Arabidopsis thaliana: one gene and its partners. Each later gene encodes a partner of the first gene's protein in a complex. Each region holds a gene or a part of one and is shown in the gene's direction. Other genes may lie near its edges.

Region 1 (4,118 bases):
AAGGTCTTCTCTTAAGATTCATAAGTGTGAATCTGGTGGGACTTAATTGGTCTGGTGGAGTAGAACCTATGCGGGCAATGAGGAAGGTTAAGGTAGGCTAACCGAGCCCACTCTCTAAGTGTTTAATTTGTAACCTTAATTCGTAAATAAAAGCTGTTTAATTTGTAACCTTTATTAGATAAAATTTTGTCTTTTTTTTTGTCAAAAGATAAAATGTTGTCAATCATTTTAAAAACAAAGAAAAAAACTTTTTTGGCAAGAATTTATATATTTGCTTGTCATAAATTTTCCATTTTGTAGTATTTTGAAAAAAATATTTTAACGAATGGAAGCAATAACTCGACAAAAAGAGTCAAACTAAAGTACCTTCACATGCAAAACAAAACGTAAATTTGGTATTTTTTTCCCATTAAAAAAAATATATATATATTCTTGGCCTTGTGTGCGAAGACGATCGAGAACGAGAAGAACGATAAGCTCAATACGCACGAACGTAGATCGAAGACTGGAAAGGTATATCTTCATCAAAATATTCATGATTATGGTTGAGTTTAATTTTGTTTACGTATTTGTTTTAATTTTTCAAAAGTCCACTGTTGGCTGGCTGTTGCTATCTTGGAATGATTTTCATATCTCAATAACTATTGTTTACTCTAAGTTAAATTATTGGGGTGCTATTTATGATGACTGATGAAGTGATGGGAACATGATTGCAATATTAAAATCTCTTTTTTATTTATATTAATTATAAGTTTGTACCCACTTCATTTTAAATAGATAATGCCAAGACGTAGGTATATTATTACTGAATTTATTTTTTAATAATAAGTAAATATGCAGGTTTCAACTAGAAAGGTAACACATCAACAAGAAATACCAAAAACCACTAGCTTACATATTTTGATCATATAAGTATTGAATAATATAGTTATAGATGATCAAATAGTTATTATTAATTACTTAGCTAGTGTAATTTCTATCGATTGTTTCACATTCGCAACAGATAATTATATAAATAAATACATACTACATGTTAACCTTTGTTTTTGTTAAATAGGATGTTTTCTTGATTGATGATCTAGATCAACTTTTAATAATTTATACGTACCAGCTTTCATTCGATCGTGCGACTTCTTGGAATATCCCATGGTACATTTGCAGTCGAGCTAGAAAGCTTTTTTGATAATTTATGAATCATATTAAGCGTCTCTCAATTAGATTAATATTTAGTACCAGTGTAAATGATACAATTATAAATCTTTTTACCAACGAATACAGAATTTGTTTTAGAAATATTCTTCGCAAAATTTTATAATATTTCATAAATCAGTTATAAAAAAAAAAAAAGCAGTTTTGAATTCAGAGGAATTCGTAAATTTCCCTAAGAGTTATTAAAACTAGTTGTGATATTTTGGAGTATTCTTTATGGCTAGATCCATATGATCCGGTTCTTGTATCTAGATTTTTTTTACGGAATATTGTATGATATATCTAGTCTCCTCTTTGGTTCTAAACTTCTAATTAATCTTCGGTGATTTGAATTAAACGTTACTGTTTTTAAATTATGATTAAGGCTTTAAAACATGTTCATACAATAATTACCAAATCTTAACCAATTAGACTCTTAATAAGGAGAACGTATATATATGTTGCAACTTGCAACTTTAGCCCTTTACAAATAATTAATCGTACATAATCTAATTGATAAACGATTCTTTAAATTTTAAAACAATGAATTAGCTTGCTGCCATCGTTTAATGGGCCAACGCCAATATAAAGACGATTAGTTGAGAAGTTGTGCAAGTAGAAGTATATGAATATTTTCATTATCTAAAAAAAAAAATGTATATGAACATGCGTTTTTCCCAGTAATGCTTTTTATATAAATATGCCTCGTGGATCACGAAAGAATAAATTATTATTTCCCTTATTATTTCATCTAGTACGATCAATATCAAGAAGTCAATATAAATAAACATACAATTCACTTTAATTGATCATAGCACCGATAACAATCTACTCTCTTTAAAAGGTCTTATCTCTATTCTTCTCTATTATGTAAAAATTGGTTAATAGTAGATATTAACAATTTATTTTTGCAACTACAGAAATTCGTAAGTACTATCAAGAAGCAGAAGATGGCCCAAAAGGTGGAAGCACAAGGAGGGAAAGGAGCCAACCTATGGGACGATGGATCGACACATGACGCCGTGACCAAGATTCAGCTCGCAGCAGGCATAGACGGAATTCAATATGTTCAGTTTGATTATGTCAAGAACGGACAACCCGAACAAGCTCCTCTTCGTGGTACCAAAGGCCGTGTTCTCCCAGCTGATCCGGTTCCTATATTTTCCTTGCCCATTAATCTTCTTCTTTCTATATGTATACTGTTATATTTTGAAGTTTTGACATTTTCATCTTGATCTATTTCTACAGTTTGTGATTAACCATCCAGACGAACATCTAGTTTCTGTAGAAGGTTGGTATAGCCCTGAAGGTATCATTCAAGGAATTAAGTTCATCTCCAACAAGAAGACTTCTGATGTCATTGGATCCGATGAGGGTACTCACTTCACTCTACAAGTTAAAGACAAGAAGATCATTGGCTTTCATGGGTCTGCCGGGGGCAATCTTAATTCTCTTGGGGCTTACTTTGCTCCGTTGACTACTACAACTCCGTTGACTCCTGCCAAGCAGCTAACGGCATTTGGTAGTGATGACGGAACTGTATGGGATGATGGTGCTTACGTTGGGGTTAAGAAGGTGTACGTTGGACAAGCCCAAGATGGAATCTCAGCTGTTAAGTTTGTGTACGACAAAAGCCCTGAGGAGGTCACAGGAGAAGAACATGGAAAGAGTACTCTACTCGGATTCGAAGAGGTATAATACTTTCTTTGCTCTTTTTGTTGAATGTAAAAATTATACATCAGAGAATTCAAATTCTCTTCCGGTTTCCATCATAATGTATTCAATTGTTTTATTTGGTTTCCAATAACTGCAGTTCGTACTTGACTATCCAAGTGAATACATCACCGCAGTCGATGGCACTTATGATAAAATCTTTGGGAGTGATGGCTCAGTCATAACTATGCTCAGGTTCAAGACTAATAAGCAAACGTCTCCTCCCTTTGGACTTGAAGCTGGCACAGTCTTCGAACTCAAAGAGGAAGGCCACAAGATCGTTGGTTTCCATGGAAGAGCCGATGTTCTGCTCCACAAAATTGGAGTCCATGTTCGTCCTTTATCCAACTGATGATGGAGCTCTTTATCCTTGATTCCATGCATCTAATAAGTTATCAAATCTATCTTCTAAATTTCTCATATGAGGTCTCTTCATGCCTCTGGTGAATGGTGATCTTTGATAAGTGTTTTACGCGTTGTCTCTTGCGATGTTGTTTTTTCTTTGTTCTTCTTGTGCTCTATTTTAATAAAGGAAGTTTGTTCCAATCTGATCTTTAGTTTCCCTATATGTTCTATAATACTTACTTTTGCCATTATTTGGTTCTGATACTAATTTTACTTGCTATAATTCAAACTAAAATCTCAACGTATGAATTGTACAATTTAAAATGCAAATGTTAACTTTTTTGGATCAAATATATAGTTGTTCGTATTTTCTCAGTAAAAAAATCCTGCACAAAGTTTTTATCTAGAATGTGTGACCATATTGAAGTTTTTGGCCTTCTCCAAACATAAAAAGTTATTAGTTAAAAGTATATGAGTTGGCCAAAAAATACGAACCGGTTCTTGTTTCTAGATTGAGCGTTACAGAAAATTGTATTATATATATACTCTTGGTTCTAATTTCTCTTAGGTGATTTCAATTATACTTTTACTGTTTGAAATAATGTACAATGCTGTGGAAACATGTTCTTACAAGACTTATCAAATCGTCAACCAATTAGAGTCCTAAAAAGGGGGTCACTAATTGTAGAATTCTGACTTATATAAATTGCAACTTGCACCCTTTACAAGTAATAACGTATATAATAAAATTGACGACTCTGTGAATTTTAAAAGAACTAATTAGCTTGCTGCCATCGTTTCATTGGCCAACACCAATATAAAGACGATTAGTTGAGAAGCTGTGGAAGTAAAAAAGGAGTATATGAATATTT
Region 2 (5,523 bases), on another chromosome or scaffold:
CGTGCAATGAAATCATCCAATTTAAAATATTTAATAATAGTCCTTCTGTATAACAACCACTAGTGTTCTTGTGGAATTTTTATTTTGTTTCAAAAAAAAACATGTTATTTTAAATTTCCAATTTTACTTTTCAAATAAACTTCCACGTTTATTCTTTAATTTATTCATATTTTTGTTTTAAATTTAACACTCACTCTGATTCATTATATAGGATATTTCAGAGATTTATTTAGGATGTTTTACTAATATCAATGCAATTTTTAAATATATTTTATTTGATTATTTGACTATTGGTTTGTATTTTGTATTTTTAATATCAAGAGAACAAATTTTATAATTAAAAATAAATTTCTTAAAGTGTGTGTTTTAATCTAAAACATCATATAATTTGAAATAGAGGAAATATCATCTAATAAAGTAATGGTATATTTGTATAGTTAATGATTTGTCTTTTTATTCGCGCAAAATGTGTCAATTATAAAATATAAAGAGGATATAATTTAGTTTAGAGTTTTAGACACGAGGACTATATATTGGAAAACAAAAAAGTAATGTAAACCATATAGATCATGGAATGAGTCATCCTATTAAACAGTTGTATTATATATTTATATTTTAGTCACTAACACATTAATAACTTAACGTCCATAACAAAATAAGATCCAAAACTCGATCTAGATCTATACGAGGCACTAAATGATCCATTGACTTAGGGCCGGCCGATTGGTTCGAGGACTCCTCATGCTGTAAACTTTTTTTTTGGACATACATGATATATTTTTAAGTCACGTTTTTATATTATATGTTCCACGCCCAATATAATATGTTCCAAACTAGGAAAAATAAGTAAGAATTAGTCAATGATCGAGATAATGCAATGAATCATCCTATTTATTAAATAGATTTACTAAACTATATATAATACAATGATCGAGATCGTGCCATGAAGCATCCTATATACTATAAAAATAGTCTTACTAAATACATACTCATATAGTTTAGTCATTCATTAGTCCAAACATTAAATGAGAGATCCTTTACTTGCTACCTGAATTTTTTCAGAATAAGGTATAACTTTTTTTCGAATTAGAAACTGATTTATGAAAGATTAAGAGTAATGTTCGTTAAACAAGTTAAAAAATATGTTTTTACAATTAAGTTTTGAAAAATAATAAAGTCTCCAATTATTTGAGTATCAAAAATAGGCTTGTTATTATTTAGGGTTTTCGTTGGTTTAAATGCAACGGGGTGTGGTTGTCATTGTGGAAGTTAATGGAAGTAATTGGTTGAGGTTTTAAACGTTATCGGACATTTTAAATGACTGGTTTACAGTTAAAAATATGTGTATTTACGGCAATTTTATGATTGGCTTAGCAGTAGATGCGACAGTGGTTTAAACCAAAAATTACCAAATAAATAATATACAATTATTAAATTATATAAAACACCAATATTATATATTTATATATATATGAACATAGTTAATTATCGAAACCATAGACAAAGTACATAAGAGTTATTCCGAAAAAGGTTTATTATGAAACACAAATAATCATATTGGGAGATTATGATATCCAAAATGGACTAATCAAATAATTAAATCCAAAATGGATGAAGAACTTATATTAGTTCCACGCACAATATAATATGTTCCAAACTAAGTAAGAACACAACGGTCGAGGTCATGCAATGAATCATCCTATATATAAAATAGTTTTACTAAACAATTATATTTTAGTCACTCGTTAACAAACAATCAAAATCGCTATATAAAGAACTCCGATTGGATGTAAACAAATCATCATAAACTTGTTCTCTTCCAGAAGAAACTAAAAACAAAAATGGCATTGCAAAAGTTTCCTCTCATGGGGCTGCTTTTGCTCCTAACCATCCTCGTCTCTGTGACAACAGCGGTTGATGATCCTGTTTGCCCGGCGACTTCCAAGCTAAGCCGAGCAAGTTTCCCTAATGGGTTTTTGTTTGGCACGGCTACTGCTGCGTTTCAGGTACAACAGATTTACTAAATCATAGTTCAAAAAACAAAAAGTAGTGTCGTTATTGTGTTTCTATCTGAATTCAAATCCATATTTTTAAAATATGGTTTTTTTTTATGTAAAAGTTGCTCAAAATATGTTATACCTATCATTTGAAATCATTTGTGCATGTGATATTCCTCAACTCATCAACTATTTTTTGTTATGTCATTAGGTCGAAGGTGCAATTAATGAAACTTGTCGTGGACCGGCTCTATGGGATATCTACTGTAGAAGAAATCCAGGTGAGTGTACTCGTATAATCTACATTCTCAATACAGTATGTTTAAATATTAAATTAAATTTAACTAATTAATATCAATACATAGCCATTAATTTTCTTAATTACTTTCAAATTACAGAGAGATGTAGTGGCGACCACGCCGATGTGGCCGTTGATTTCTTCCATCGTTATAAGGTATATATTAATATAAATTTAAGACAAACATAACTTATATTCTCGAGATGTTATTGAAATTTTGCCTTGTCTTAAAAATGTTTGTAGGAAGATATTCAGCTAATGAAGAATCTAAACACAGATGCATTCAGACTCTCAATCGCATGGTCAAGAATATTTCCTCGTGAGTATATGTCTGCAGATCTCTAGTTTGATTTTGTTTTAATCGAATTTGGTGAAATTAGATTTATGTGATTGTTATATAATACTAATAACCAATGAATTTAGATGATGTATATGTGAATGTTGAAGTATCAATAACTAATGAAACAAACTGTAATGCTTTATTAGATGGGAGAAAGGAGAAGGGAGTGAGTCAAGCTGGTGTGCAATTCTACCACGAGCTCATCGATGAACTCCTTAAAAATGGTTATATACATATAAAATACCTAGTTCACAAAAATACAAGTAATATAGTATCCTTATTTAACATTTCTTTCTATTTTACGTCATAAATAGGTATAGTTCCGTTTGTGACTGTTTTCCATTGGGACACTCCACAAGATTTGGAAGACGAATATGGCGGTTTCTTAAGCCAAAACATTGTGTATGTTTTTGTAAATTAAACAAAATACATTTAGTTAAGTTTATATGGAAATTATTAATTTGGTATCTTTTTTTTTTGCAAAAATACAGGAAAGATTTTCGAGAATATGCAGATTATGTTTTCACTGAATACGGTGGAAAAGTGAAAAACTGGATCACTTTCAACGAGCCATGGGTCTTTGCTCACGCAGGTTACGACTTAGGAAAGAAAGCACCAGGACGTTGTTCTCGCTACGTTCCAGGTTGCGAAGACCGAGAGGGACAATCTGGTAAAGAGGCTTATCTAGTCAGTCACAATCTCCTCAACGCTCACGCAGAAGCTGTTGAAGTTTTCCGCCAAAAGGTAGTTTACATTAGATATAAATCATAATTAATTATCAGGTCACATTAGATATAAATCACAATTAATTATCAGGTTTCGAATCTTAAAATAGGTTGTTTTGTGTTGTGTTTATGGACATAGGTTAAAGGTGGGAAAATCGGAATCGCACATAGTCCGGCTTGGTTCGAACCACATGATCTTAAAGATTCAAATGACGCTCCAACTGTTAGCCGTGTACTTGACTTTATGTTGGGATGGTAAGTATATATTATGTTAGAAAATGGTTTCTCGTATATAATTTCATAAAAATTAATGTAGTTATTAATTTTGTGTAGGCATCTGGAGCCAACTACTTCGGGAGATTATCCACAAATCATGAAAGACCTTCTTGGTTACAGATTGCCTCAATTTACTGCTGCACAAAAAGCAAAATTGAAAGATTCGACCGATTTCGTAGGGCTTAACTACTATACTTCGACATTTTCAAATTATAATGAGAAGCCAGATCCGTCTAAACCAAGTTGGAAGCAAGATTCTCTTGTTTCCTGGGAACGTAAGTTTTTTTTTGTTTTCCGTACATGAAACCAAACCAAGAAACTAAAGATAAAAGGTTTTATAATACTAATTGATATGCATACATTTTCACTTTTTATTTTTCAGCTAAGAATGTAGATCACAGCGCCATTGGTAGCATGGTAAGCGTTTGATTAAACTAGTCCTAGTTTGTGATTGTTAATTTTTGTCTACGACATAACATTTTCACCATTGCTTTATTTCAGCCTCTTACTGCTGCATTGCCCGTCTACGCTAAAGGATTTAGAAAGCTTTTAAAGTACATCAAGGACAAATACGCAAACCCGGAGATTATGATAATGGAAAATGGTAACTCGAGATTTATTGTTATATTTGTGTGTTGATTTAATCTTAACTCTTAAGAGTAATATACTGATCATTATAATGTTGTTTTTTCTAGGATATGGAGATAAACTTGGGACCACAGATTCGGTTGACGTTGGTACTGCTGATCATAACAGGAAATATTATCTTCAGAGGCATCTTCTGGCTATGAACGAGGCTATTTGGTAAGCCTTTTATTATTTGATAGATTGACTAACGATTCTATTGAATGGTCTAATTAAGAACATAATTGTGTTTGTGCAGCATCGATAAGGTGAGAGTTACGGGATACTTTGTATGGTCATTGTTGGATAACTTCGAATGGCAAGATGGTTACAAAAACAGATTCGGACTCTATTACGTCGATTTCAAAAATAACCTCACACGTTATGAGAAAGAATCAGCCAAGTATTACAAAGATTTCCTCGCTCAAGGTGTTCGTCCATCCGCACTCAAGAGGGATGAGCTTTAAGTTATATTTTGAGGATTTCGTTTTCTATTCGATGTTTTTCCTATGTTTTAGTTTGTGATTGACCACGCACGATTCATGAGTCGTGGTTAATAATAATAAAAGTGTTTCGTTTTCCTTCAATCTCTAGCTTATTCGACAAGATCAAGAAGGCTTTAGTTTTAATGACGTTATCCTTTTTGAGAATCAATATGTGAAGTTAAATATGTTTTACCTTCCAAACTTGAAGAAAAATTGAATCATACAACCTTAACATTAAAAAATTTATGAGTTACAAAATGATGTAAGAAAATATCATTAGTTTTAGAAAATTAAAAATACGAATTTACCTCTATACATAGAAATAGATTAGGAAATAATTTGACGTCGTCTTAACAACTAAGTACAAACATTTCAAAAACTAACAACTTAAACGTTGGCGATGAAATAAACAATGGCAATTCATTTTCCCAAACAGTTCTAATATTTTATTTTTGAAAGTCACTAGTTTAGATTAAAAAACAGGACGACCAGCAAGAGAAGATATCTCTTTTTCACTCATTTGGCCAAGCGTATTTTCTATATACCTTAAGGAAATAAAATCCATGCATGATGCAACCAAATAAATCCACCATGCAATACCAACATCATTCATTACTTTGGAAATTCATATTTCATTCTTAGCAAGCAAAAAAAAACAAAAAAAAACAATCAAACGTATGTGTTAATAATGAAATCATCACATTCTATCTTACTAGTAGTCACTTATCAAAAACGATTTATGTAAATAGTGATTTTCAAGATTTTTTTTTTAAAAGCA
Region 3 (5,681 bases), on another chromosome or scaffold:
CGAATTTATTTTATTTTTTAGTATTTAATAGTTTTATATTTAATTGGAAGTTTCCATTTCCTTGACTACGCCATAAAGATACACAAAGACTCTTAACTGATCCAGATCATTGAAGTAACCAAGGGTAAGTAATTGAACTGGCCATAGTTAGTAAAAGATTGTACCAACCGTTTCTTCATTCTTAGGAGAGCAAAAAAAACTAGTCGCAGTGTATTCTTCTTCTATGACGACTAGACGAGAGTAGTGAGTCGCAATGTGCTTTGGTAGGGCATCAGCTAAGAGGAATACACATATTTTTAAGTTGCTTTCTTCCAAGGTACAATATTTGACATATATATGGACTTGTAAACTTACCAGATTTTCTGATCATGTAAATAGTAGCTTTCAATGTCCTCGATCACAAAGGCCATGAAGTGTAGCATTTTGAGAAATGGTCATTCCAAATCTAAATGGACTTTCTCATTGAGTTGTTTGAAAGAAAAATAATCAATTACACCACCAATTGATCGACCAAGAAAAATGTTTGGTGAATAATAGTTACCCCAATTTGTGTTTTTTTGGGCAAAAAAGTTGCCCCACATTTATATTTTAATTTTGATGCCTAAATTTCGTTGATCTTAATTAGGCTTTACCGCACTGTCCTGACAGCAGTCAGCATGCGACTAGAATGTGACCAATTGTTTGTCCGAAACCGAAGATTACTCATTCCAAACTCCCAGTCTAATTGGAGGTTGTGTCTTGATATCTAATAACTTGTTTGATAACCATTATAAGGTCTTTTGCTTAGGTTTTACGGTCCATAAGTTACCAATGTATCCTATGATCAGGACGACTACTACAGGTTCAAGATTTTGAAGATATAGGTCATACACTAGATTTTCTTATTTATAATTGTATAGTTTAGCTTAGTCACCCGGGATCTCTCATCGAATGAATCATCCTATTTAAATAATAGTCAAGCGGAAACCAATAATGAAAGATTATATTAAGTTATGAAAACGTCAATAATAATCATGATTAAGATAAGATCGAAAACACCATTTGGATGATTAGATCTATCTATATAGTAAAATAAAATAAACATTATCAACGAGGCCTGGTTGTGGCATATTAAAAACAAGACATTAATGAGAGATCAGTATCGCTATAAAAAACGACACTAACATATAAATGAACCATCCTAAAATTGTTTTCTTAATCAAGACAAAAGAAAAAAAAGAAAACTAAAAACCAAAATGTCATTGCAAAAGTTTCTCATGGGGACACGTTGCTCCTAACCACCATCGTATACAATAGTTAAATAATTGTATACTATCTTAGTGGGATAAGTAAATGAAAGTTTATTCAATAAATATTAATATCTTAAACGTCAATAATACCTAAAGTAAGATCCAAAAACTCGATCTGGATCATTACTATAGAAAATTAAAGAAAATGATTAACGAGGCCTTGTTGGCATATCTTTTTCTTTTCTTGTAAAACAGATCTGGTTGCATATTTGAAAGTAGACATTAAATGAGAGATCCGTTGATTATGGAAGATTAAATGTTAATATTGTTGCTCGTTAAACACGAGAAATATTATTAAGACGAAGGTGCAACAATAGATGAAGACTTCAGTTATAGGACATACACGATTTTTTTTTTTTTTTGATAGGATACACTATTTATTTAAAGGCACGTTTTTATTATATGTTCCACGCGTAATATAATATGTTCCAAACTTTGAAAAATAAGTAAGAACACACCTATATATAAAATAAATTTATTAAACAAATATAGTTTAGTGACTTATTTGTCATTACCAAACAATCAAAATCACTATATAATTAAGAACTCTGTTTAGATGTAAACAAATCATCACAAACTTGTTCTCTTCCAAAAGACCAAAAATTAGAAACCATGGCATTGCAAAAGTTCCCTCTCCTGGGGCTTCTTTTTCTCATAACCATTGTCGTCTCTTCGACAATAGCCGTCGATGATCCTGTGTGCCCAACGACGTCCAAACTAAGCCGAGCAAGTTTCCCTAATGGGTTTGTGTTTGGCACAGCTACTGCTGCGTTTCAGGTAAACTGTGAGACATCAAAATGAATTATTTACTACACTATACTTCAAAAATATGTATTAGTGTTGTGTCTCCATCAAAATTCAAGCCTAAGTCCAAATGCTGAATTCAAACATATGTTATTACCTCAACTCATCAGCTATTTTCGTTATGTCATTAGGTTGAAGGTGCAATTAATGAAACTTGTCGTGGACCTGCTCTATGGGATATCTTCTGTAAGAGAAATCCAGGTGAGTGTATAATCTATATTTTCTATACAATATCTTTAGATATCTAAATTCATTCACTTTTTATTTTTAAATTACAGAGAGATGTAGTGGCCACAACGCCGATGTGGCCGTTGATTTCTTCCATCGTTATAAGGTAAATATATATATGTATTTTGAATCTAAATTTAAAGTATATTCAAAAGAAAAAAAACATCTTTACAATAAAGTGCCTCTTGTTTGAAAAGAATTTTGAGAAAATTAACTCAGAGGATGCTTACAAAACTTTGAAATGGTTAGACCCTTGAGAGGAGCCACACTGTATATATAATATATTAATATAAAGTTGAGGTATATATTAATATAAATTTAAGGTATATATTAATATAATTTTAAGACAAATATAACTTATATTTTATACTTTTAGTTTGCTGATATTATACGAGATATTATTGAAAATTTGTCTCGTCTTAAAAATGTTTGTAGGAAGATATTCAACTAATGAAGAATCTAAACACAGACGCATTCAGACTCTCAATCGCATGGTCAAGAATATTTCCTCGTGAGTATATGTCTGCAGATCTCTAGTTTGATTTAGTAATCGAATTTGGTGAATTGATATATAAATCAATAACTAATGAATTTTACATTTATTGACTAATCAAACAAACTAACGGGTTTTTAGATGGGAGAAAGGAGAAGGGAGTGAGTCAAGCTGGTGTGAAATTCTACCACGACCTGATCGATGAGCTCCTTAAAAATGGTTATATACATATAAACTAATTAATTAAAAAAGACAAGAAATATAGTATCATTATTTAACATTTCTATCTATTTTTACATTGTAACTAGGTATAATTCCGTTTGTGACTGTTTTCCATTGGGACACTCCACAAGATTTAGAAGACGAATATGGCGGTTTCTTAAGCGAGAACATTGTGTATGTTTTTGTAAATTGAAACAAAATACATCTAATTAAATTTTATATGGAAATTATTAGTTTAATATCATTTTTTGCAAAAATACAGGAAAGATTTCCGAGAATATGCAGATTATGTTTTCACTGAATACGGTGGAAAAGTGAAAAACTGGATCACTTTCAACGAGCCATGGGTCTTCGCTCATGCAGGTTACGACGTAGGCAAGAAGGCGCCAGGACGTTGTTCTCGCTACCTTAAAGGTTGTGAAGACCGAGATGGACGATCAGGTTATGAGGCTTATCTAGTTAGTCACAACCTCCTCAACGCTCATGCAGAAGCTGTTGAAGTTTTCCGCCAAAAGGTAATTTACATTAGATATATATATCAAAATTAACTATCAGGTTTTGGATATGAATATAATTTGTTTTGTGTTGTGTTAATGGACATTTTGTAGGTTAAAGGTGGGAAAATTGGAATCGCACATAGTCCGGCTTGGTTCGAACCACATGATCTTAAAGATTCAAATGACGTTCCAACTGTTAGCCGTGTACTTGACTTTATGTTGGGATGGTAGGTATATACTTTGATAAAATGGGGTCTTGTATACAATTTCATATAATTGATGGAGTTTTGATTATTATTTGTAGGCATCTAGACCCAACTACTTTTGGAGATTATCCACAAATCATGAAAGACCTTCTTGGTCACAGATTGCCCAAATTCACTTCTTCACAAAAAGCAAAATTGAAAGATTCGACCGATTTCGTAGGGCTTAACTACTATACTTCAACATTTTCAAACCATAATGAAAAGCCAGATCCGTCTACACCAAGTTGGAAGCAAGATTCTCTTGTTGCTTGGGAACGTAAGTTTTTTTTTCCTTACATGAAACCAAACCAAGAAACTAAGAGAAAATGTTTTCTTTATAATACTAATTGATATGTATACATTTTCACTTTTAAATTTCAGCTAAGAATGTAGATCACAGCGCCATTGGTAGCCAGGTATGCGTTAAACTAAACTAGTCCTAGTTTGAGATTGTTTTAACAACTAAACAATTAAAATATTTCTCTCAACGACATAACATCTATCACCATTGTTTTATTTTCAGCCTCTTACCGCTGCATTGCCCGTCTACGCTAAAGGTTTTAGAAGTCTTTTAAAGTACATCAAAGATAAATACGCAAACCCGGAAATTATGATCATGGAAAATGGTAACTCGAGATTTATGGTTACTGTGTGTTGATTTAGTTTGGAGTTAAAATATATATTCATCTTAATGTTGTTGTTTTTCTAGGATATGGAGATAAACTTAAGGACAAAGATTCGGTTGAGGTTGGTACTGCTGATTATAACAGGAAATACTATCTTCAGAGGCATCTTCTAGCTATGAACGAAGCTATTTGGTAACCGTTTACTATTTATTTATTTAGAGAACAATTCTATGGAATGATCTAATCAAGAAAATTTGTGTATGTGCAGCATTGACAAAGTGAGAGTTACGGGATACTTTGTATGGTCATTATTAGATAACTTTGAATGGCAAGATGGTTATAATAACAGATTCGGACTCTATTACGTCGATTTCAAAAATAACCTCACACGTTATGAGAAAGAATCAGCCAAGTACTACAAAGATTTCCTCGGTCAAGGTGTTCGTCCATCCGCGCTCAAGAAGGATGAGCTTTAAGTTATATTTTGAGGATTTGGTTTTCTGTTCAATGCTTCTTTCCTATGTTTTAGTTTGTGATTGATCATGATTCATGAAGTCTTGGTTAATAATAATAAAAGTGTTTTGTATTCCTTCAGTTTCTAGCTTATTTGACATGATCAAGAATGCTTTAGTATAAATATATTATCCTTATATGAAGGTATCTTTACCTTCAAAACATGAAGAAATATTGTATTATATATATTAAAAAAAGTCTTAAATTTACAAAAGGACTGATGTTTTTAAATATGAAGTAAAAATATCATAGTTTTTAAAATATTGAAAATACGAATTTACCTCTATTTAAAGAAATAGATTATGCAATAACTAGACGTCGTCTTAACAACTAAATCGTGCAAATATTTTAATGACTAATAACTTCAACAACTTAAACCGCTTGGCGATGAAATAAAACAATGGAAATAGTTTAACATTTTTAGAAAATCACCATGATTTGAGATCGGATAAGATGTCACACCGTAGCTACAAGTTTGAGATTAATCTTTCCAAACAATTTAGATAAAATCAAGTTACATAATTTGATATCGGATAAGATAAGACAATGTACATAAAAATGAACACAACATAATATCAGCAAGATGGTTCTAATATAACAGATTGGGATTCTACTACGTCAATTTTAAAAATAATCTCAATGTTATGAGAAACAATCAGCCAGGTATTACAAAGATTTCTTTGGTCAAGGTTTTAAGGCCCTGTTCGTTTCTACATTTGATAGATCCATCCAACTGATCCATTCAACATGTCTATTTGGATGAT

Evidence for each region. Proteins that work in one complex are often made in the same cells at the same time.
Region 2: PBP1 (region 1) and BGLU21 share a complex: the UniProt entries of both Arabidopsis thaliana proteins name them as parts of the PYK10 complex.
Region 3: PBP1 (region 1) and BGLU22 share a complex: the UniProt entries of both Arabidopsis thaliana proteins name them as parts of the PYK10 complex.

Annotation. Positions count from the first base shown.
Region 1 is NC_003074.8:5,577,422-5,581,539, forward strand, and holds PBP1 (PYK10-binding protein 1), read left to right. Parts: upstream 1-1,868; 5' UTR 1,869-2,032; intron 2,033-2,053; exon of another isoform or gene 2,054-2,108; 5' UTR 2,109-2,138; coding exon 2,139-2,339; intron 2,340-2,436; coding exon 2,437-2,880; intron 2,881-3,001; coding exon 3,002-3,253; 3' UTR 3,254-3,611; downstream 3,612-4,118. UniProt on the Arabidopsis thaliana protein: Inhibitor-type lectin that may regulate the correct polymerization of BGLU23/PYK10 upon tissue damage. Activates BGLU21, BGLU22 and BGLU23.
Region 2 is NC_003070.9:24,699,314-24,704,836, reverse strand, and holds BGLU21 (Glycosyl hydrolase superfamily protein), read left to right. Parts: upstream 1-1,670; 5' UTR 1,671-1,841; coding exon 1,842-2,006; intron 2,007-2,208; coding exon 2,209-2,278; intron 2,279-2,395; coding exon 2,396-2,451; intron 2,452-2,538; coding exon 2,539-2,614; intron 2,615-2,781; coding exon 2,782-2,859; intron 2,860-2,949; coding exon 2,950-3,037; intron 3,038-3,126; coding exon 3,127-3,379; intron 3,380-3,499; coding exon 3,500-3,615; intron 3,616-3,693; coding exon 3,694-3,911; intron 3,912-4,018; coding exon 4,019-4,053; intron 4,054-4,137; coding exon 4,138-4,240; intron 4,241-4,331; coding exon 4,332-4,440; intron 4,441-4,519; coding exon 4,520-4,727; 3' UTR 4,728-4,969; downstream 4,970-5,523. UniProt on the Arabidopsis thaliana protein: Beta-D-glucosidase active on scopolin >> esculin >> 4-MU-glucoside > DIMBOA-glucoside. No activity with pNP-glucoside, oNP-glucoside and sinigrin as substrates.
Region 3 is NC_003070.9:24,705,958-24,711,638, reverse strand, and holds BGLU22 (Glycosyl hydrolase superfamily protein), read left to right. Parts: upstream 1-1,642; 5' UTR 1,643-1,901; coding exon 1,902-2,066; intron 2,067-2,224; coding exon 2,225-2,294; intron 2,295-2,371; coding exon 2,372-2,427; intron 2,428-2,756; coding exon 2,757-2,832; intron 2,833-2,955; coding exon 2,956-3,033; intron 3,034-3,122; coding exon 3,123-3,210; intron 3,211-3,298; coding exon 3,299-3,551; intron 3,552-3,644; coding exon 3,645-3,760; intron 3,761-3,837; coding exon 3,838-4,055; intron 4,056-4,159; coding exon 4,160-4,194; intron 4,195-4,301; coding exon 4,302-4,404; intron 4,405-4,487; coding exon 4,488-4,596; intron 4,597-4,672; coding exon 4,673-4,880; 3' UTR 4,881-5,127; downstream 5,128-5,681. UniProt on the Arabidopsis thaliana protein: Beta-D-glucosidase active on scopolin >> esculin >> 4-MU-glucoside. No activity with DIMBOA-glucoside, pNP-glucoside, oNP-glucoside and sinigrin as substrates.